Linked DNA regions of Zea mays. The protein of the gene in region 2 interacts with the protein of the main gene of each other region in a pairwise test. Links are inferred from orthologs where the notes say so. Each region holds a gene or a part of one and is shown on either strand. Other genes may lie near its edges.

Region 1 (7,301 bases), on a different chromosome or scaffold from region 2:
ATAGGATCGAGTTCACACTCCGCTTTGTAATTCCTTGGTAGCTATCAATGAAATACGGTTTCGAAACCGCTTCTAATGCCGGACATAGGAAATGGCAACAAGCCCTAACCTAGGCCTATCACTCTCTCTCTTTCTCAGTAGCTAACAGGGCAGGCGACGCGTCGGACGTCAGAGGCATGGGACAAATAGCAAGGGGATCGATGGAGAGATGGGTGGGAGCCCCCTTTCCAAAACTGATCGTTTCGAGTTTTCTTATTTTACGTTAAGAATGAAATACTCCTTTTGTCGGGTATGACAATTAGGGGTACCAAACTGCACCCCCAAAATAGGCTTAAAATTCTAGGGACACCCCTAAAAAACAAACCCCCAACCTCCGCCTGTCCCGAGGTCCGTGTCAAGAGCCATCCCCACAAAAGCTCCCCACGAGGGCCTCCCAAAATCTCTGACTCGCCCGAGCCGAACCTCAAGTTGGTCACATACTCGGGAGGGTCTCTGCCTCGCCCGAGGCACCCTCGCCTTAGGACCGCCTTGTCCGCCTTGCCCGAACCTGTCTCAGGTGATAAGGACAAAGCGAGCCCGAAGGCAGGTGGGGGACACCCGCTAGGGATGGCAACAGATAAACTATCCATGGATAGTGTCTCTAGACATCCATATCCGTGACTTATATCCGATATCCGAACCCATACCCGTTACCCGCTACGAATAAAAACAGTATCCACATCCATTACCCGCGGGTAACGGATATCCGCGGATATATCCGTTTGCCCACTATAAGTTTAACTTCACACACTTTAGGAAAGAAAAGACTAGCTGTAATATATTTGGTCCCAGAAAACAACATGGTTAAGTCATAAAATATTCCCAGTTTCTCACAAACAATAGCTGCAGTTGTGGCAACGGGAGTACGGGACTTGGGCAGTTGGGCTGGCTGTGGTCCGTGAAGTGGTTCCAAACTCCAGTGACCCCACATGTCGAGTTACTTTAACGGATATTCGGGTATTCAGATATGGATATTGATTGTTCGTACCTGTTTTAAAAATATCCACGGATACCAAATGCTACCCGTATCCGTGTCCACGGGTACAGGTTTGTACCCAAAACCGTGCCCAACGGGTTTTTTATCCGCGGGTACGTGGATAAATCACATCCATTGCCATCCCTAACAGCCGCATTCAATGCGCGTACCTACCCCACGCAAGGTTACAGGCGTACAATACAAGACGACTATGGTCTTGTCCAATACCAACAACATGATTACACACGCGCTACTGTGCACGCACGTCGCATGCCATCCCCTGACGGGATGTTTAATACAACAGAAGAGCGGACTAGCCCTCGGGCCCAAACTCCGCCTCGCCCAACGCCAAGCTCACCCTCAGATACCGCTTTCGCCTCGCTCGAGCTTGGCCTCGGCTACCTGCTATACCACGAATCCTGCAGGAAACCACTCCGTCGACTGTGGCACACATCAGTAAGGATTCAGCCATCACCTCGGGAAGACTTCCGCCTTGCCCGAACTCGGCTCCGATCTCGATATCTGCAGCCAAGGGCACCCCAATGTCATCAGATACAGAAGCGCTGACACATCCCGCAAGTGGCTTTTCTCCATAACTAAGCCCTATTACAACCACTACGATATGGGTAGCCCTCCCCTGAGGGCTCGGGCATAGAGCCAAACCCTCAGCCTTAGCCTCGGCTCTCAGCGGGAAACCAGCGAATTCAAGTGAACAACGAAGTACAAAGGCCTTGCTGTCTACAGGACGTGAAGACACCCTCCGCAGCAGGCAAGCAGCCTCATCTACAAAGACGTGCTCCCCTTAGGCATATAAATAGGGTAGTCTATGACCTCTCTAGGGGACAAGGCGAACACTTCGTAGCTTTCTCCTGGCATTCGATATTGGCACTTGTCTCAATCATTTCTAGGGACATATGATTTAGATTTTTTTTCATTTTCCATGGATTTTTTTTGAATAAGAGGAGTGATCAAAGTTGGGTTGAAAAAGTCAAACGAAATATATTTTAAAACAGAGGGAGTACTATTTTAGATAAGTTGAGTATTATAGATAAACCTAATCTGTTAGGGGGTTTTTGGGTTGAGGAATCCTTCTATCTAAAATGAGGTGGTGCATCATGGGTCAATTCTTCAAATTTGTTGGGATAAGTCTATTTCTCATATTAGTATTAACTAACTAACTAACTATGATGAATGAGTTGGTGATGGATCAATTCATTCCATTTCATAAACCAAACAAAAAAAGTGAGGAGCTAGAAGATGATGGACTAGCTCATTACTCAAACCAAACACTATATTATATAGTACTATTATGATGAAGAAGCCACTTTAAACCAGTATACCCCGTTTGTATGTAGATATTGGAGCACATGATTAGAAATTGGAATCAGATTTCTAGAATTTTATTATTTTGTTGTACATGAAATTGAGATTTGGAATCAGAGACCTAATTCCATAGAATTGGACTATAACTAGAAATTCCGTCTCCTAATACAGAGCACTACTCCTCTGTATTGAGTGGAATTGGACCACACAAATCCAAACTCTAATTCAATAACATCCAAACAATATATTTGAAATTATATCTCATTTCAGTATCATGTTTGATTTGTAATTGAACCCAATTCAATTTTCATGCTTTCCAACATCCACATTCAAACTGTAATAGCAAATAACCCAGCCGGGCTTGTCCAACGTTCACATATTCGGAGCGAACCCTATGGCCCACTTGTCGGCCATGTAACTCGGCTGTTTCGCACAGGCACGGCACTCGTTGGAAACTTGGAATGCCCTATCAGATCGCATCGCACCCAAAAATCAAGAGCCTGCTGGATTCAAACGGCTGATTCAAACGACCAGAGTCCGGACACTCACACTCCCCTGCTGCGCCTGCCGCCTGCGTTTCGGCCACCGCACTACTTCCCCAATCCCCTTGATATCGCCCACCCGCGCTCGCCGCCGCCGCTGGGCGGCGATGGAAACCCTAATGGTAGACCGCGTCCACAGTAGCCTCCGCCTCTTCATGTACCGCAACGCCATATTCCTCTGCGAGCGCCTCTGCGCACAGTTCCCCTCCGAGGTAGCCCCCTTTTATCCATGTTCCTTAACGAGGCTAGTACGTCTCGATTCGGTGTATTGCGCGTGGGAATGGTACATCTGGGGGTCGGATCAGGCGTGTGGCAGTGATTTGAGCGCGGGGCTCACCTCCGTTGTTTAGTTCGATTCAGTAGTCTTCTGTCGTTTTTTTTGAAGTGTCTAGGGTTGCATTAGGAGTAGAGTAGCAGAGTGGTGAGCTTTTGGTCTGTAGCTTATCTAGGCTTGAATTAGAACAGCTCTCTATAGCTGGTGTAGGGAACTGGAGTATCCCGCGTGATTCATCTAGGGTTCATAGTGAACTTTTACTGGAGAGGGTGATTTTCTGCCTAAATTTTTGAGGCAATTTCACAGGTAAAAGCTCTACTGGTGTTTATGCATAATGGGCATTGGTTACAGTAACGTGTATGCCTGTGAGTTCTTTTCCTTGTCAGAACCTTGGGGTGACAATATTTATAGCCCATTAGGTATTCAGTTGCTTGAATTCTATGTTCTTACAGGACATGCTCACCCACTTTCTTTTCTAACCTTATAATTACTTGAGGGTGTGGGTTTTAATTTTAATTTTGGTTCTTGACGTGGTTCATGGGTCTTCATGTGGGATGAAGTTCAGGAATTTGAATGCATGGTTTTGTGTTTTAGTTTTTATTTAGGTTCTTGATGTGGATCATAGGTCTTCATGTGGGATGAAAGTCGACATAACTTGAATGCATGTTTAGTGTGTATGAGACTATGCATTCAATTTCTTAGCAGATGACCTCACTGATTAACCTGAATCTGTGCCTGCTTTACAATGCTTTCTTTTCAATTAGTAATTCTTGCTCACAAAAAATCTTAGTTTATTTTTTTTAATTTTAAGTCCATTTGCAACATAGTTGTGGGCACTAAATGTTCTTGCTCTACCTCCTCTGCACAGACCAATGTGCAATTGCTAGCAACCTGCTACCTACACAACAATCAGCCATATGCTGCATATCACGTTTTGAAAGGTAAGTTTGGATGGTTATATGCTCGCCATGTAACACATATATTATATAAAGGTAGTTTGGATGGTTTATGGATTTTGTTTCTGATGTTATATGAAGGGAAGAAGCTGCCGGAGTCCCGGTACTTGTTTGCTACATCATGCTTTCGAATGAACCTCTTGCGTGAAGCAGAAGAAATTCTATGTCCAGTCAATGAGCCAAACATGGAGGTATAAATCATATTTTAGAGTGATTTGTTTATGTAAATATCTCTAACGTTGAACACGAACCTAGCCATTCTATTGGAGATGAAACCCAAAAGAAAACATGTAGAACGTGAGTGAACCTTGATTTGTGGTTTATGTTGGGTTTCAACTCTAGCCTATCCTAATTTGTTTGGGACTAAAAGGCTTTGTGTGTTGTTTGTTGCTGTTGTTGTGAATATCTCATTCGTTTGCCTTTGTGCAACAAATTGGTGTGTGAAAACTTGAGTGTGTCTGTTTTTGTGTAGAAGAAAGTGTGGTGGTATTATAGCAGCAAAGTATTTTTCGCTCAGTAATAAACTATATTAACAACATAATATTCAAAAGGGACTTGACAGCACTACATTAGTTTGAAAAATAAAATATTGGTAACAATAGTTTGTTTCCTTATGGGGTTCCAGTTTTGAATAAAGGGAGGTGCATGATGCACTTGTTGGTTTGTGAACTAGAAATTCCATAGCTAGTTCAGTGAGAACATTTACTGGTTCTTTTAAATAATACTAGGCCTGATTGTTTTATTTTTCCTGCGGTGTTTCACACCAAATTTGTTTCCAAGGCCAAAGTCTTATGTATGTTTATTCCCCTTTATTGTTAGAAAGTCTGGTTGTTTTATGTTATACGAGAGAAGCATTAGTATTACAAGGTACGTGCTGGCACAGCATGGATTGGCTTGAAACTCTCTTTTTTTCATTTGTTTTTCACCTGGGGCACGATGTTCAGCTGAGGTTTTTTTTCTCGAAAGAGCGCAGGAGGACTGCGCACCCATATATTAAAGTAGAGGGAAAATAAAGGGCCATAAGGACCCAGGTACAAGCACTCCTTATGGAGGCCAGAAACAAGCATACACAAAGCTATCCATAAAACTGGATAAAAAACACTACAGCCCTAGGAGCTAGGTAGTTTGGCTGGCCAAAAAGGAAAGCCCCTTGGCACCAGCCAGGTTCCTCACTGATTCTACAGAGGTGAAGTAGATACTTAGAAAATAAAATCAATCACATTTGTTTGTTTTAATTCCTGTATTGGGTCAGCTTGTTTCTAGTATTAGTTTCATCCTTCTGCAGGTTCCAAGTGGAGCAACAGGACACTACCTCCTTGGAGTGATCTACAGGTTTATTATTCATGGCTTAACTGAATCCATGTTGCTGCATTCTATATTTCTTCAGAGTTCAGATATTTATCTCAACTGTGTGCAGGTGCACAGGCAGAATTTCAGCTGCAGCTGAACAATTTACACAAGCGTTGACTCTAGATCCTCTTTTATGGGCGGCATATGAGGAATTGTGTATATTAGGTTGGTTCATTTTACACCCATATATGAAGTTCTGTGGTAGGTCTATAGCAATTGTGATATATTAGGACTAGTTGCATGAAGTATACTATTGCCTCATATCTTAACCTTTGAAGGTGTAGAAATAGAAATGAAATGGTGATTTGAATGCGTGTTACTGAATATGCTACATCTAGTGGATTTGAATATGGCCTTCATAGACATTTCTCATATATTGTTGTCTTCTATGTTAACCTGTAGAAATATGTTTGTTCCTGTAAATTCAGAGCATTTGAGCATTACTGCAGTAAATTCTCTATCCGATGGATTTCAATCATCATCAATTAGCTTGCCATTCCGCCATTCGTTGTTACTGGCTCATACCTGGTGGGCAGTATTTCCTTTTGCCTTACTGTAGAAGTTACACTATGATTCATTAATCCTTGCCTTTTTGCTTGCAAGGAGTCACTCTCAATTTAAAGTTTGAAGCCATAAACATACATTAAAAACGTGTCTTTGTCTTATAGGTATTGCCGAAGATACCGATGAGTGTTTTAGTGAATCGACTGCTCTACGTCTCCAGCAGGAACACACATCCACGTCCACTTTGGTGAAGTCGAACTTTGCCAATGAAAATCGAGTTCTATCATCCAGTGTCTCTGCAAGTTTTGGGGATATTATTCCTAAGCAAATCAAACAGCTTCATGCTAACAACATAACAGAAGTATCTGGTTATCCTCATGTAAGACCAACCGCATTGCATGTGCAGAACAGTTCAACTTCTAATGTATCACAGTTTGACACCCCATCACCAGCTGCAGCACAGGTCAATACAACCTGTTTGATTCTTCACTTATGATTTTTTTTTGCCAATGTGCACCTAATAGTAATAGGAGACTAAATGTAATCATCAGTTGGTAGAACCATGTTAAAAAGCACTGGTAGCTTGGTTTCTCTTATGTTTCCAATTATTTGACACTGTCTCAGATGGCTTGTTTTAGACCCCGGTGTCTCATATGTTCCCAATTATTTGACACTTGCTCAGATGGCTTGTTTTAGACCTTCAAGAATTGTCCTGACCCCAGAACTTGTTTTGTTCATCTATCTTGCCCCATCTACCTTTTTTTCTAAAGAAAATCATTTTCCCTTGCAATGAAGTATTCCCTCCATTCTAAAATGCAAGTCGTTCTGGCTTTTCTAGGTGCACAGCTTTTGCTATGCATCTAAATATACACTGTCTCTAGTCCACATTAACTTACAATTTGGAATGGTGGGAATAGAAGGGTGGGTCTGGTGCAGCGGTAGAGTCTCCACTTGTTTTGGACGTTCTGGATTCCCATCGGCCTCCTTGCGAAATGCGAAATAAGCAAAACAATGGCTGCCTAGAGTTCCCTTCGCTAGATCCCACCTTGTGTGGGAGCTTTCAACACCGAGTATGCCCTTGGGAAGTATCTATCATCTGTGTCTAGTGAACAACATTCTGATGATACAGAGCTGTGTGGCACTGTTGCTTGGTCATTTGGTCAATCACAACTGTGTCTTAACTGTTGAGTTGTTTTACACAATTTTGAGTCAGTTGTGCTTGGCGATTTAACTTCTTCAGTTTTGAAATTATTTTAGTGTCAGCTGAGTTTCATTTTATTTAATTTAATTATGCAGACTTCTATCATGCCACCACCACTATTTAGGAATGTACATGC
Region 2 (6,712 bases):
GCGGACCTTAGGGCCCATCACTTGGGACCTCGAGGCCATGACGATGGCATTCCAGCGCGACGACCACCGTGTATTGTGGCGGGGCATCGGGGGTGCCGACCCTCCTGACCCTCGAGCCTCCGTAGCAGCGGTGGTAGCCGCAAGTGACCAGCAACCCATGCTGGACCGGCTTCTTCTTCAGCATGCCTCCACATTCGAGGAGCCCCGAGGCCTGCCGCCGGCCCGACCATACGACCATCGCATCCATCTGCTCCCGGGAACAGCACCGGTCGCCGTGCGACCATACCGATACCCCCAGCTGCAGAAGGATGAGCTGGAGCGCCAGTGCGACGCCATGCTCACCCAGGGGATTATCCGCCCTAGCACCTCGCCATTCTCGGCGCCGGTACTCCTTGTTCGCAAGGCGGATAAGTCCTGGCGTTTCTGCATCGACTACCGCGCCCTCAACGCCAAGACTGCCAAGGACAAGTTTCCCATACCCGTCGTGGACGAGCTTCTCGACGAGCTCCATGGGGCTCGCTTCTTCACCAAGCTCGATTTGCGCTCGGGCTATCATCAGGTGCGGATGTGCGTCGACGACATCGCCAAGACGGCGTTCCGCACTCATCATGGCCACTATGAGTTCCTAGTGATGCCGTTCGGGCTTTCCAATGCCCCGGCGACATTCCAGGCCTTGATGAACGACGTCCTACGGCCGTACCTAAGGAGGTTTGTGCTCGTCTTCTTCGACGACATTCTTATCTACAGCTCGTCATGGGCAGAGCATCTGCAGCAAGTCGCCATCGTCCTGAATGAGCTTCGGGCGCACCAGCTCCACCTAAAGCGCTCGAAGTGCTCATTCGGCCCTCGCCCGCTTTTCCCGGTGCCAGCATCTACATCTTGGCGAAATCGGTCGAGGAGGACGAGGGCGTCGTTGCCAGGTGTAGGCGCAACATCATGTTCGGTGGGCTGTTGATGGCGCGGCCGGCCAGCGGCTGCTCCTGCCAGATCTGGCCGGCGGGGGGTGCGGCACCATGTGCTGCTGGCGGCGAGTCGCGTGGCACTCGCGTCTGGTGTTTGCTTGCTTTGGTGACCGCGGTTGCCAGGGCTGGTGGCGGCTGGCGACAGTGGCTTCGACGCGTGGCAGTGTGTTGCACGCGGCTTGGTGTTGCTCGGTTTCTGTGTGCCTAGCAAGAGGGGATGACAAACCAACGCAGCTTTGCGGCTGCTGCGGCAGCCGACGCGTCGTCGCCCCTCTGGAAGGGTTTGTGTGAGGTGTCAGGACAACAACGACGACAGAGGTTGCTTGCTTTGACCGGGGTCTTGGCCTGACATTGTGTTGGGGGCTTCTTGGGCAAAAGCCTCGACGACGGTGACGCCTGTGGGCATTGCTTCCCCTGCTGAGGGCGTCACATTCTTCAGCATTGTCTTCCATGGGCGAAAGACCGGTCCATCTCAGACATGCGACGATGGTGTCCCCGACGTCACTCCTTGAAGACATCGCTTTTGAAGTTCGTCTCGGCCACGACGTCGTCTCTCGGTTGTTGGTTTCGCTTCTCGTTGTTCGGTAGGCGGGTGGAGGTGCGGGCTTGCAACGTGAAGTCGAAGCTACTACGTCAGAGGATGTGGCTCGACAGCGATGACATGTGGCGAACCCCCCTTCATCGTGGACTGGACTGCTTCGGAGGTTGGGCGTATGCGGGGTGGGGTGGGGCGGAGGATCTTGTTTGGAAGTCTCGTTGGTGAAGAATCGAAGCTACCTTACGTGGGGTGTCTCAAGGCTTGGCAACGACGACACACCGCGGTCTTCCTCCTGTGCTGGTGTTGTGGGTGTAGACGTCGTCAGGTTTCCTTTGGTCATGTGTTGTCTGTCTTGGGGAGTCGGAGCTGCCCATCCTTTGTGTTGAGCTCGGTAACGATGACTCTGAATGGGCTTTGTGTATGGGCTGTCGTCGTTTAGGTTGCTTGGGCACCTTGTATAGGTTTTGGGCCCGGTTTTCCTTAAAACTGGATCAATTCCTTTCTTCTTAATTGAGAGGCAGAGCTCCTGCCATTACGTTAAAAAAAGTCTGAGATGACTAGCGAGTCAGGGTCTATCGACTTTTTTTGAGGGAAAACAGCAGCGGGAACCACTATGGAGGCATATAGAAAGTTTGTACGCCGAAGAAGAATCTCAGTATCTTCAAGCTATACTAATCATGATGTGGAGATACTGATTGACTAATGAGTCAGAATGTAGTGACAGTTTTAAAATCGATATGTTCTGAGAGTTTCTGACTCATTAGTCAATCAAATACTAAACTCCGAATTGACAAGATCAGTTCTGCATCAATTAGCATGCTATCCTGTCGAAGCAAGAGACATATGCTTCATTAACCACTGCATATGTCATCGTAACTGTTAAATAACTAAAGTATTTCAATGCTGTTAGGGTAATTGACTGTCAAAAAATTGTACACCAACATTTTTTGTGTATATCTTAGTTCACGTAACACTAGTATTTTCGTGACGGAACATCATTTTTAGGAGATAATTTGAACAGTCAGTATTTTCTATCTCTTGTATGCTCTTTTTTCTTCACCGGCCTCTTGTGTCCGGTATGAATGCAGATAGAAGACCTTGTTGTTCCTGCTTCAGTTGATCAGTTGCTATCGGATTACGCAAAACGATTTCACCAGATAAAAACTCCACGAAAGCTATTATGGAAGAAAAATCTTGGAACAGTTAAGGTTGGAAAAACATATTTAATTAATGGGTACTATGGAAACATATCTTGCTATGAGAAGCGGGTATAAGTTATAACTTTCTTTGCTCTTGCAGTTAGAACTGCAATTTGACGGAAGAAGCGTGCAATTTACTGTAGCTCCTGTGCATGCTGCAATCATAATGCGGTTTCAAGAGAAATCTAGGTATTCAAAGAACTGTATTATTGCATGTATCATTTGTACTCTTTTGACTAAATCTATCGAACTTTCTAGTTGGACTTCAAAGGCACTTGCTACAGAAATTGGCATACCTATGGATTCTCTTAACAGAAGAATAAGTTTCTGGACAAGCAAGGTCTGGCACACATGTATCAGCGGATAATTGTTGCTTTATTTTTTTTTATGTGAAATATGCTTGTCATCATGCAGAACATGCTAACATGACTGTTGGAGCATAATCATTATTATTGTATATTGGCTGTTGCTGATAGCTTCTGTGATGTGATGATATAGGGGGTCCTGACTGAATCAGCAGGACCAGATGCCGATGATCGCACCTTCACTGTTGTCGATAGCATGTCTGATGTCAACAAGGACAGTATTGTGAATGAACGCATGGCAGAGTATCAGATGACTGAGGAGGAAGGTGAAAGCTCTGTGGCTTCAGTGGAGGAACAGCTTAAGAAAGAAATGACAGTCTACGAGGTATGGCTCAAAATGAAATACTGAATAAATACGTTTACATTTTGTTTGTGCTCACCTTTCAAACATTGGGACGCTGTACGCACCGCAGAAATACATCGTCGGAATGCTAACAAATTTTGGGAGTATGTCGCTGGACAGGATACATAACACTCTAAAGGTAATGGCACAAAAGATGGTTGGTCGGCATTCCCCTTATCTGATATACTGGTTTTTTTTTATGTTTCACATTTTGATCTCTTTTCATTTTTTTTTCTCATTTTGCAGATGTTTTGTATTGCCGAGCCATCGTATGACAAGTCGCTGCAGCAGCTGCAAAGTTTTCTTTCTGGTCTAGTAGCAGATGAAAAGCTAGAAACGAGGGATGGGCTGTACTTGCTAAAGAGGTAGCAGCCGTTTCTATACTAGGATAGTGGGTTGTTAGACTAGGGTTGTACACTTGTACTATTTGCTAATGAGTTGTTTAGACTAGAGATGTCAGGTAATCAGATATAACACACTTCATTATCAAAGCTATGTTATCGGGTTCAGAGGCAGCTTACATATCCTATCTCACATCCTCCTTTATTTTAAACTTCATTATGTAAACAATGACTATGAAGGTGTTACTATGGAGGTATTTGAGATGGCTCTAGGTTCTAGATCCAGTATGGAGCTGTAGTTTATGTCAGTTTATTTAAATAGTTTTAAAGTATTTATAATCTAAATAATAAATAAAATAATTTAACTAAATGTTTTTTAAAGTCTTATAACTCTAGATTCACGATTTTCTGAAGCATCTGATTTGTTATACCAACTCTATCAATTTTTTTGAGCTAAAATTGTCCCAAACAAGATCTATATACACAATTTGCTAGAGGCAGATGCTGACGTCAGGCTACGACTCCCTCTCCCCTCTTCCACGTGTACGAACGGGGATGAGCCGTCCAACGACGTCATCTCCCTAAGTCCCTTTCCATGGAATATTAGGTGAGAGAAAAATCTCATCGGATGTAGGAGATGTAATCTCTCATTTGTTAATGACTGTGATTATTTACGAAATTAATCTATTCTAAACTTCTTAACCAGAAAACAATGCGTATTGCAATAGCACAAATACGAATATCGTACATTTTTTAACTCCAAAAATTTATTGTATATGAGTTAAATAGCTTAGTTAAAACATAAAGGGAAGCCAAATAGTGGAAATGATTGGATAAGATAAATAGGGAGAGTAATAAAAGAGGGGATGTATTTAAAAATAAATAGAAAGTATGAATAGAGGGAAATGAGAGTAGGAATGGTTGGAATCAACCTTGTAGCACTTAGCATTCACTATCGCAAGTTATTATTGCTATTGTTACACCCCTATCCAATACGTGAATAGTTATGTGACGATGTGGATAGTTTCAATAATAATAAAAATGCTAAGGTAGTGATTTGGACCATGATAAAGAATGATAGGGTGATTAATGATATTATTTTTAACTGTATGAGAACTAGTTGACATCATAAAATATAAGACAGTCTACAACAGTTTACTCATATGATCATAAAAAACTGGTTTGCACTGTAGATTATACTGTTTACATAGTAAAGTTTAAATATATGGATGATGATGGTTAAGCTACTAGAGATAACCTAATAATACACTTTGTGATCTGCTATGCAACTAATTTATTATAAAGATGTGAAATGAGAATCGTATCTTTATAAAACATCTTTATAAAACAGAGAGTGAAGGTCCACACCAAATAACACTTCCTTTCCTTATCATTAGAAAAATAGATTTGAATTAAAAAAACAGCATATTTAGTGTAAAAACTATTAGCACACTAATATACTAACACCAAGTCTTGTCCATCAGATTCACTATCTACGATTGAGTTAAATCCCACGCACATCCTATCATACGAAGACTTAGTTCTTTAGAAAATAGTTTAGGAGGAGATGATATTGCACTAAGTCATAGATGCTGAATTTGATGAACAAGATTCAATGTTACTGTATTAACACCTTAATTATTTTTACACTATGTTGTCTTTATAGAAAACTACTGTAACGCGCATCCTGGAATCTTAATCCAGATATGGGAAACCGTTGTTTAGCCCACTTTCCAGTACATTTTGCGGGCTGCAGGCCCACGCACGCGCCACTCGGGGCCCAACGAAACTGGCGCCGCGACGAATCCTCTCGCCGGCTGCACCATGGCCGGGAAGAGCGAGGGACGCTCCCGTGGTCGAGGGTTGGGATACCGATGACTCTGTGTGTGTGCGCGCGCGCGCCCCAAGTCCAGTCCAAACATCCATCGGTAGGGATGGGACTGCCTAGTCGAGGAGAAGCTTCGCTGGCGCCGCGCCGCCCCGCATTCGTCGACGAGGTCCGTTCCTGCTCAGGTTTATCCCACTCCGCGTTCATCTCTTCCGTGTAACAATAGAGGGATCGAACAAAATGCAAGTGACGGGAAACCGAGCAAACCAGTGATTCTCCTGGAGGGAAGCATGCAACGGGGCCGCCAGGCCGGATGCTGCGTTTTTGTTTGTAGCTCGCAGACTTCGATCTGCTTGATTTCACTGACGTGCTCATCGCAGAGGCATTTTCGACTGTTTCCACGCGGTTGGCGATTAGCTTTGACTCCACTCAGCTGTAACAGTCCAGCGAAATTTCCGTCTCGTCATCTTTCCTAGATGCCTAGGCACGAGACAGGAGTCACAGGAGTCCACATCTGTCTTCCACTATGCTCTGTCGTTCTTCTCTCCTATACTTTCTTACACCTCTTTCCTGCTAGCTACTAGGGACCTTTGTCCTTTTGCTTCAGTGATAAGTAAGGAACAATCTGTGGGTGGATAACAAAGCTTGACCTGACTCAGAGACTCGGAATCTTTGGCTCTTGCCCCCGCGTCTTCTGGGAAAAGACGCTAAAGGTAACCAGCATGAACTAATAACTGGGAAACTGCATTATGCACACGAAATTAAGCACCAGTGTAATGAGTGATCAGTTAATCAGAAATTTGTTTTTTTATTTGTAATTTGGGTTGTATGCACTGCAATTCATTGCAGTGGATAAGATGGTTGGGAATTGCAGATATTCATGCTAAATCACTGTTTAAACGATTTTCATTCACAGTTCGACAGGCCCAGTGCTGCCGGCTCCCATATGAGTGGGGTAGTAACCGAGCCAAGACTTAATTCCGTGGTACATTCTACATAGAGGCTTCATCGAACTCAGGACCTTTGGCTTAATGGAAAGGCCTGTCACCATTGCGTCAGGTCTGTCCTTCATTCACAGTTGCTATTTTGAAAATATTTCATTTGATGGTTAGAGAAAGCTTTAGGATTAATGGAAT
Region 3 (7,538 bases), on a different chromosome or scaffold from region 2:
TACACAACATTGCCAAAAAAAAAAGGGAAGAGTTACCAACATGACCATGCATAACAGATAATGCTAGGAAAGGTAAACAAAGGAAGCATCCCAAGAAATTTCTGGCAAGCAATACACACCAAGCGTCCAAGCGGTAACAAATTTCTAATGCCCCTCTGATGATATCTGGGGGCCACACCCCCACATGGTATCCCAGGTTGACAACCAGAAACAGTAATGACAAGCTAGAAATAGAAATCAAAGAGTGCTATCGTGCACATACTACCAAACTGCTCCTCACAAACACACCTTGTTGTCACATTCAGAAACCCTGGTTGTTAACTGAAGAGCTAACACATGAGGCCTAGATGAAAGTGAGAGAGGAAGGTGGAGCTATACCAAATACTTTAAAGAACGAGATGAATCTAACATTCAGTTCATTTTTTTTCAATGGTGGAGATCTACCGGGCCTTGGGAACAAAATTAATGTCACTGCTGTCAACCATCATCTGGTATCCTGGTTTGGATTCACTATTAACTAATAGTCCAGAATTAGCTAACTACATATTAGCTAACTAAGAGCATCTCCGAGAGAGTCTCTCTAAACGTGACCCTATTTTAAATATAAGGCCCAGAACCATAAAACACATTTCCAACAGCGGCTCTATTTTATATTATAAAATTTTATCAAACAATTACCGGGCTCGGTCTCTCGGGTCCTAAATCTAGTACCTCATATACTGGAGCCTTGTCCCCGTTTTCTCTTAATCTCCAACCATTTATTTCTTAATAATATGATTTGTTGGATTAAAAATTTCTTTTGATGCCCTAAATACGGTCCTATTTCAAATTCTAGGACTCTATTTTAGAGTTTATTTTTTTATATGCTCTAATAGTCCCTAACTTAAACTTTATGCCTCCTTGGCTCAGGAGAAAAGGAAAACGATTCTGGGGTAGATTCTGCAACAACAGCAAAATAGCCAAGGGAACATAAAAGATTTCCCAAGGATGGCGTTTATCAGTCATACAACAATATAACCTTTTGAATTTATCATATTGAATGAGAAAATAAGCTCCAACCTCCAAGTGCCTCCGTTTTTGGGGTTACAGTCTTACAGATGCATGCACACTCACTAGTCCCTACCACACAACTAGATTGCGAAGTCCAATGCTAACTCTGATTTCGTGGAGCAAAAGCTCATGCCAATAAAAAACAATGCACCGCGCCTCAAATTGAACAACCACAATTTGAGCCTCAGTCGGTGCAGTCGGTATACTCCCACAACTTCACAACCAAATAAGGCCTTGTTCGGTTATTCCCATTATATATGGATTGGATGAGATTGAAAAAAATTTAGAAGAACTTTGACTTGCTTGAGATTTAAACTCACCTAATCACACTCAATCCACATGGATTGAGACCTAACCGAACAAACCCTAAGGGCTTGTTCGGTTATTGATATTACATGTGTATTAGAGTGTATTGGGTGGGATTGGGGTGGATTTTGACTTGTTATGGGTTTAAACCGGCTCAATCCCACCCAATACATGTGGATTATCACCAAAACGAACAAGCCCTAAAGAGGTGGCTCCGAACAGGGAAAGAGTCATAAAGTGCACCAGATCTTACACTATTGAGTAAATTTTAGGAGGCTTATATAATAAGTCTAAATGCACTTGTAATGACTAGAACTCCAATTTTAATAAGGAACAAAAAGTACATGCCTTTCTAGAAAGGTGAAGAGTAACTAAATTAGCCATCCAACCTGTCGAAATCACAGCGATAATGTGCAATGTGGGAGGCTTAGAACATCTCTAAGGGCTAGTTTGGGAACCACATTTTCCCAAGGGATTTCCATTTTCCTAAGGGAAATTAGTTCATTTTCCCTTGGGAAAATAGAAATCCCATGGGAAAATGTAGTTCCCAAACTAGCCCTAAGAGTCTTTCTAAAACTAACTCTCTAAATTATCGTTTGGATAGTCATTTGAATAAAACTCGCTCTCAATATCTCTGTATTCTCCAATAAATTTCCTATATCTTGTGCACACTCTAGAAAGTCATCCTCACTATCTATCTTTGGCTAGTGAGAAATCTGGAATAGAGTGTCTATATTTAGAGATCCGGCTGTTGGAGGGTATTTGTTTCCTATAAATTAAGAAGGGTATAAAGAGTCCCTCGGAGTTGTTGTTATAAGCAGTAACAGCCCCCATGCAACTGCATAAGTTTAAAGGTTTTATTAGTGCTGTATGGCACCATTGCTAACATTGGTATGGAAGAAACAGAAGTACCCTACAAACTGGAAGAGGCATACAATTTTAAGGAACGGACGAGATAATTTACTAGAATAGCAGAAACTTTCATGCACGGTTACTTCTATCTTTGTATTCCATATGCTCCCTTTCCAGAATGACCTAGCACACGACCCTCAAAGTTCAGTACTAGTATAGGATCTTGAATTGAGCCCTGCTAATCGATAGATCATTCTTGTTGTGGAAGTAAAGAATAGAGATGAAAGCAAGTGGGGCTAATAGCCTAATACACTATGCAGTTTTCTCCTCATTGTTATGCAGTACTTAGAATACCCTACCAGAACAGAATCCAATCAATTGCCTAGCTCTGATACTAGACTTCTTGTAATCCTTCAGAAGATAAACAATAAGAACAAACCAATATGGGATAAGATTAGGAAATCAGCCCTAAGAAAAGCAATAATTTCATTTGTTCCACTACAAGCTTGGAAGCATACACAGGATCAGGCGCTGACATCAGGATTTATACTAAGTACGGAAAACAATATGTAGTAGTTAAAATAAAGCATCACAGAAGTACCAGAAAAACATCAGTCTTCTCTGAGAACTGAGAGTCGCTTGGTGCAGTTCTAGATGTCCATAGTACCTTAGCCCTTAAACTGCCACTCTCTACGGCACATGGGGCAAAGGGGTGTGGATGTTTGAGAATTGACCCACTTCAGTATGCAGTGAAGATGATAAGCATGGTTGCAGACACCCCAAATGAGTGGGCAATCATCACCAGGGAACTTACAGTCAGGACAGCAGCCATCAAAAGCCATCCTGCATATGCCACATGTCTCATCCTGTGCATCCCACGTCCAAGAAGCCACTGCATGCCACTGAAGAATCTTGACCTTCATAGTGCTACCTGGAATGCAACAATATATAAACAAGAGACGTTTTATTCACTGCATCTTGTCATATGCAGAATCCATTGAACAAGTAATGTATGGGCAGTTTGAATTAGTAGTCCACTACGCAGAAAAGAAATCCTCAATCAACTGATGAAGAGAATGAGATATTTGGGCTTTAACATATTACTGCAGAGTGACTCTTACAGGAAAAAAACAATTGATCCACATTTAGGGTTTCCCACCAAAATATAACCCCAAATCCAGAGGTCTCCTAACAGCAATGCCAGCACCAGTGGAGAGGAGAGACTAGGACACGAACTAGAGATTGAAAAGATCCTTCAGAGTTGCTGGATGTGACATAAGAAACAGTGCGCCGGAACTGGATCAACAGGATTGCTAACTGTTACACGAGATAAGTTTAAATAAACTCAAGCTAAATCCTAGTATCATCGTACATCATAACTGACATCATAACCGACGCAACAACTAACATTAGACTGAAATAGACCAAGAAGTCGTGAAAATGGCATTACCAATTTGTGATTCTCTCCAGTTATTTGGGAATCAATAACTTTGTAACTTCTTAATCTGGGAGCAAGAACGAGAGAAGGGACATGCACAGACTGGGCATCCGCCAGCACAGTGGAAGCCAGAGAAGGGGAGCCAACTAATAAGGCAGAGGCACTGGAGCATATGGCATGATCCGAGAGGTCATGAAAGTTGGTGGTGTGGGATGTGGGAGCAGCGGCTGGTATAAGACCCCGTGCTCACTGGCTTGGAGGGAGGGGAGAGGGGAAGGGGGATGACCGGATGAGAGACTGCACTATTGGGCTAAAGCTAGTATCCCTGGTAAGTGGTAATTACTGGGCCAATTCAGTGCTGGCCTCCAGCGCCAAGCCTACGTTCGCACATAGATCGGGCTGGTTTCACGCTCTGTAGATCTCCTTAATACAAAGTTTGGCATTGCTCCATAGATGTTATGCTTCCTCACCAAGTAAACCGACAGCACGCACCATGACCAACTAACAAACAACCATGTTGATCAACCCACTAGGCCCGACTCCGATGGAGACACAGTGGTCAGCTTCTTCCTCCCCTCCAATGATCCACTTGTGGCACACTCAGCCCTGACTGCCTGAGGCCTGACCCGGCACTGCCCATGAATGGCGTATCCAGGATTTTAAGAAAGGGTGGTCCAAGTTAACATAATTTCTTTTAGTACTGCAAATGTAACATGCCAACATGCAAGTAAAAAGTTTACCAAAATGTTTAAACCTCAGGGGGAAAAATGCATGTTACATTTGCTAATACAAATAACTTGCCTTGTTGGTTGCTGCCTCCACCTCTCGATTCAGCCAGTCTGCCAATACAAGAAAAAAAAAGCACATCAGGAATTTGCCCCAATCCATCTAGCAGTTCACAGATTGCAATCGGCAATTTCAAACATTTGTCCCTGCTCATTACTCAAACTCAGTACCCAATACTCTATTTCTCTGTATTCACCCGTCACAAGAGATGCTCAGACGCAGAAGCCGGAAGACAGTAGATACGCAATAGCGGTTGGAGGACAGCGCCGCTGGCGGCCAGGTAGCGGTCGCCAGTGCCCGCCCGGTGAGCCGTGGACTTGTGCCTGGTGGGCTGCAGAGTGCTAACCTGACGCTCGCTTGCTTTGCTGCTCCTGCTCTGCTCGGAGCTTCGGATGGGGCGGAGTGCGGAGGCGCGGACTGCGGTTCGCCTGCGCCGGTGCCGCCCTCGCACCCTGGGGGCCTGCCGGCCTGGACTCGGGTGGCACGGCGCGGATTCAAAAGGGTAGGAGGCACTGCGCGAAGGCAGAGGGAGCTGGGCAGCAGGCCGCCGGGGTGGCGTCGTCGGAGTCGTAACCGTGGGTTAGGGCATCGGGAGGGAGTGAAGATGGGCTGAGGCAGGCCTTTAACTATTTGTTGGCATTTCATTTCATCAAGTAGGCCTTCAGAGATAAGTGATTGCAGTTTTTTTAAAAAAATATATATATGTTACAGCAAGTTTAATAATGGGACCCCGTTTAATAATATAGAGCATAGTAAGTTTAATAATGTTGTTATATTATATATGGCCAACTAAAAGTCTAACATAAAATAACTCTCTCATAATAATAGTTTGTAAATTTAATATTTGGTCCACCACTCTCTCTCTCTCTTATAACACTAGTTGTACATTTTCAATGGAATACTAGTGAGCAGTATGCTTCTCTTCTCTCTATTTCTCTTTCTTTCATATCACCATAAATCTAATTTGTTATCTCTTACAGTCCGCCTACCAGTGATGGAGCACGACTACAAATTTCAGTATGGCAACGAGGAACGTATCGACTATCGAGCGGTCGGATGACATGCTCTGAGGCGGTGTCGACTGGCGGGCGCTTGTTGTCGACGGTAGACGCACGGTGGCGGCAGACTATGCCAGCAGGGCACGAAGGTGAACATGCTCGTGCGCACCATATCACGGTGCGAGCACCTACACGTGAGCCTAGATAATGTGGGAGAAGGCAAAGTTGTAGACGGCTCAGTTGCACGCCATGGAACTAGAGGAGCGGCTGCGTGCATGCGGAGGCAGATGGCAGATCGGGAGGGGCATGGTCTTGTCGTAGAGGAGCCGAGTAGGAGTGCTAGAGGCCAAAGGGGAGCGAGAAACGACTTATGGGGGTACCACCATGAAGGCGCTGAGCGTGGGCATCGGGAGGGTCCCACGTGTCGTGCACAGAGCGAGGTGGTACATCGGGAGGGGTGTTGTCCCACCTTTAGGCAAGAGTGCCAGAGGTGGAGGCGTGGAGCCAGGAGCGGGTGGTGGAGCGCTGGCATCCGAAGGTTAGAGCTTTGGGTCACACGGAGTGGGTGGTGGCAGGTAGCTCACGGCTAGGAGCCTCAAAGGAGACAATACCTCATAGAAGACGATAATGGGAAGTGGGAGGTGGCGAGGCACGTAGGCGGAGACAAGTGACCAAGTGGGATGTAATGCAAGGAGGAGTTAAGGTTCCTCACTTCCTCTGTTGGGTTGGGTCGAGTAGTTTAGGTATGGTGAGGGCCATAATGGGCCACTATGACTTATTATACTTTCTCTCAGTGCTTCTCTTGTCCGTAGGTACACATCTGCCTATGTGCTCCTCCTACCACTCCTAATGTATTTGACTGCTAGGGTTAGGATGGAGATGTGAGGGGAAGAAATAGATGGGAAGACGCCTCGCCTCGCCATAACCTCCCACATTCTTGTCATTATCGTGTCCCGAATCGCTTAACACCGATGTAGTGTCCTCACATGGCTCACCTCGTGCACAGACTGTTTAACAGCTTTTCACTGTCATTGCCTCCCAGGTGCTCGGCGATGTCGCTTCCACTAGATATAGCCCTGCTTGGACTAAGTCGGCCACCATTTGACCCCTCCATGTGACTATGTGTGTGGCCGGTACCAACCGCTATTGCTCCATCGCACCGATCGGTAGTGGCTCTAGTTAGATCCTACATAAGTAGTTGACTGCTATGGCTCCATCGCACCGGTCGGTAGCTGCTCTAGTTAGATCCTACCTAAGTAGTAATATATATGTTGTCCACTTAGACTTATGTGTGTTTTGTTATCCACCTAGTCTTATGGGCAAGTCAAAAACTAGTAGGCTTAGGTTAGTGTTGGGTACCTGGGAACAGGGTACCCAAAGAAGGTCGCAAGACCCCTCGAAGATGGCTCACGAACCGGGCGACCCACCTACCAAGCAGCTCGGCGGGAAGGTCCAAAGGGCCAACCGGGGACAGCCTGCCAAGCCGACCAGCCCGCCCGCCGAACAAATATTCGCCGAGCACCCCAGCGAGGCAGAGCTGCCGAGCAACCTAGTGAGGCGGGGCTGCCTAGCAACCCAACGGGGCGAGGCTATCAACCAACCCAGCGGGGCAAGGCTGCTGACCAACCCAACGAGGCGAGGCTGCCGACCATCCTGCCCGTCGAGCAACCTAGAAAGACGACAATGAACCGACCTAGTACTATCAAGCCACGTCGACACGATGGGACATCACCGAGCCATGCCCGAACTATGGAAGCGGTACCGAGGGGACTCTGTCAAGCACGACACCGGATACGTATCCTTGTTGAACAGTAGGACCAAACGACCTCGACCTTAAAGACCTCAACATCGTGGTCTCTATAGTGACCCATACGCCGAAGGGGATGGGACATTACGTCGTACCAGACGTGCGCCTACGCATGATGAAAGGTGACGCTAAGGGCATGATGGAAGGCGAAGACATCCCTAAGCCATGTCATGAGCTGACTCAACAGAACTCACCAAGCACTACCACGTCTAAATCAAAGTAGCTATAGGAACCCATCAGAAGGCGAATAGGACATAACGCCATACCAGGGGTACGACGGCGCATGCCTCGACAAACGAAT

The links.
Region 1: the proteins of anaphase-promoting complex subunit 2 (region 2) and Cell division cycle protein 27 homolog B interact in binary tests that used the Arabidopsis thaliana proteins (3 or more experiments, as listed by UniProt). The link is inferred for Zea mays from reciprocal best matches to the Arabidopsis thaliana genes APC2 and HBT.
Region 3: the proteins of anaphase-promoting complex subunit 2 (region 2) and Anaphase-promoting complex subunit 11 interact in binary tests that used the Arabidopsis thaliana proteins (3 or more experiments, as listed by UniProt). The link is inferred for Zea mays from reciprocal best matches to the Arabidopsis thaliana genes APC2 and APC11.

Annotation. Positions count from the first base shown.
Region 1 is NC_050098.1:172,618,847-172,626,147, forward strand, and holds the start of Cell division cycle protein 27 homolog B, read left to right. Parts: upstream 1-2,862; 5' UTR 2,863-2,987; coding exon 2,988-3,092; intron 3,093-4,022; coding exon 4,023-4,095; intron 4,096-4,191; coding exon 4,192-4,301; intron 4,302-5,395; coding exon 5,396-5,442; intron 5,443-5,527; coding exon 5,528-5,625; intron 5,626-6,128; coding exon 6,129-6,427; intron 6,428-7,260; coding exon 7,261-7,301. UniProt on the Arabidopsis thaliana protein: Component of the anaphase promoting complex/cyclosome (APC/C), a cell cycle-regulated E3 ubiquitin-protein ligase complex that controls progression through mitosis and the G1 phase of the cell cycle.
Region 2 is NC_050100.1:59,055,944-59,062,655, forward strand, and holds the end of anaphase-promoting complex subunit 2, read left to right. Parts: intron 1-2,588; coding exon 2,589-2,708; intron 2,709-2,799; coding exon 2,800-2,888; intron 2,889-2,957; coding exon 2,958-3,039; intron 3,040-3,197; coding exon 3,198-3,389; intron 3,390-3,477; coding exon 3,478-3,546; intron 3,547-3,653; coding exon 3,654-3,776; 3' UTR 3,777-4,036; downstream 4,037-6,712. UniProt on the Arabidopsis thaliana protein: Component of the anaphase promoting complex/cyclosome (APC/C), a cell cycle-regulated E3 ubiquitin-protein ligase complex that controls progression through mitosis and the G1 phase of the cell cycle.
Region 3 is NC_050096.1:47,777,087-47,784,624, reverse strand, and holds Anaphase-promoting complex subunit 11, read right to left. Parts: upstream 5,057-7,538; 5' UTR 4,779-5,056; exon of another isoform or gene 4,603-4,778; intron 4,486-4,602; 5' UTR 4,448-4,485; intron 3,140-4,447; 5' UTR 3,132-3,139; coding exon 2,877-3,131; 3' UTR 2,640-2,876; downstream 1-2,639. UniProt on the Arabidopsis thaliana protein: Component of the anaphase promoting complex/cyclosome (APC/C), a cell cycle-regulated E3 ubiquitin-protein ligase complex that controls progression through mitosis and the G1 phase of the cell cycle.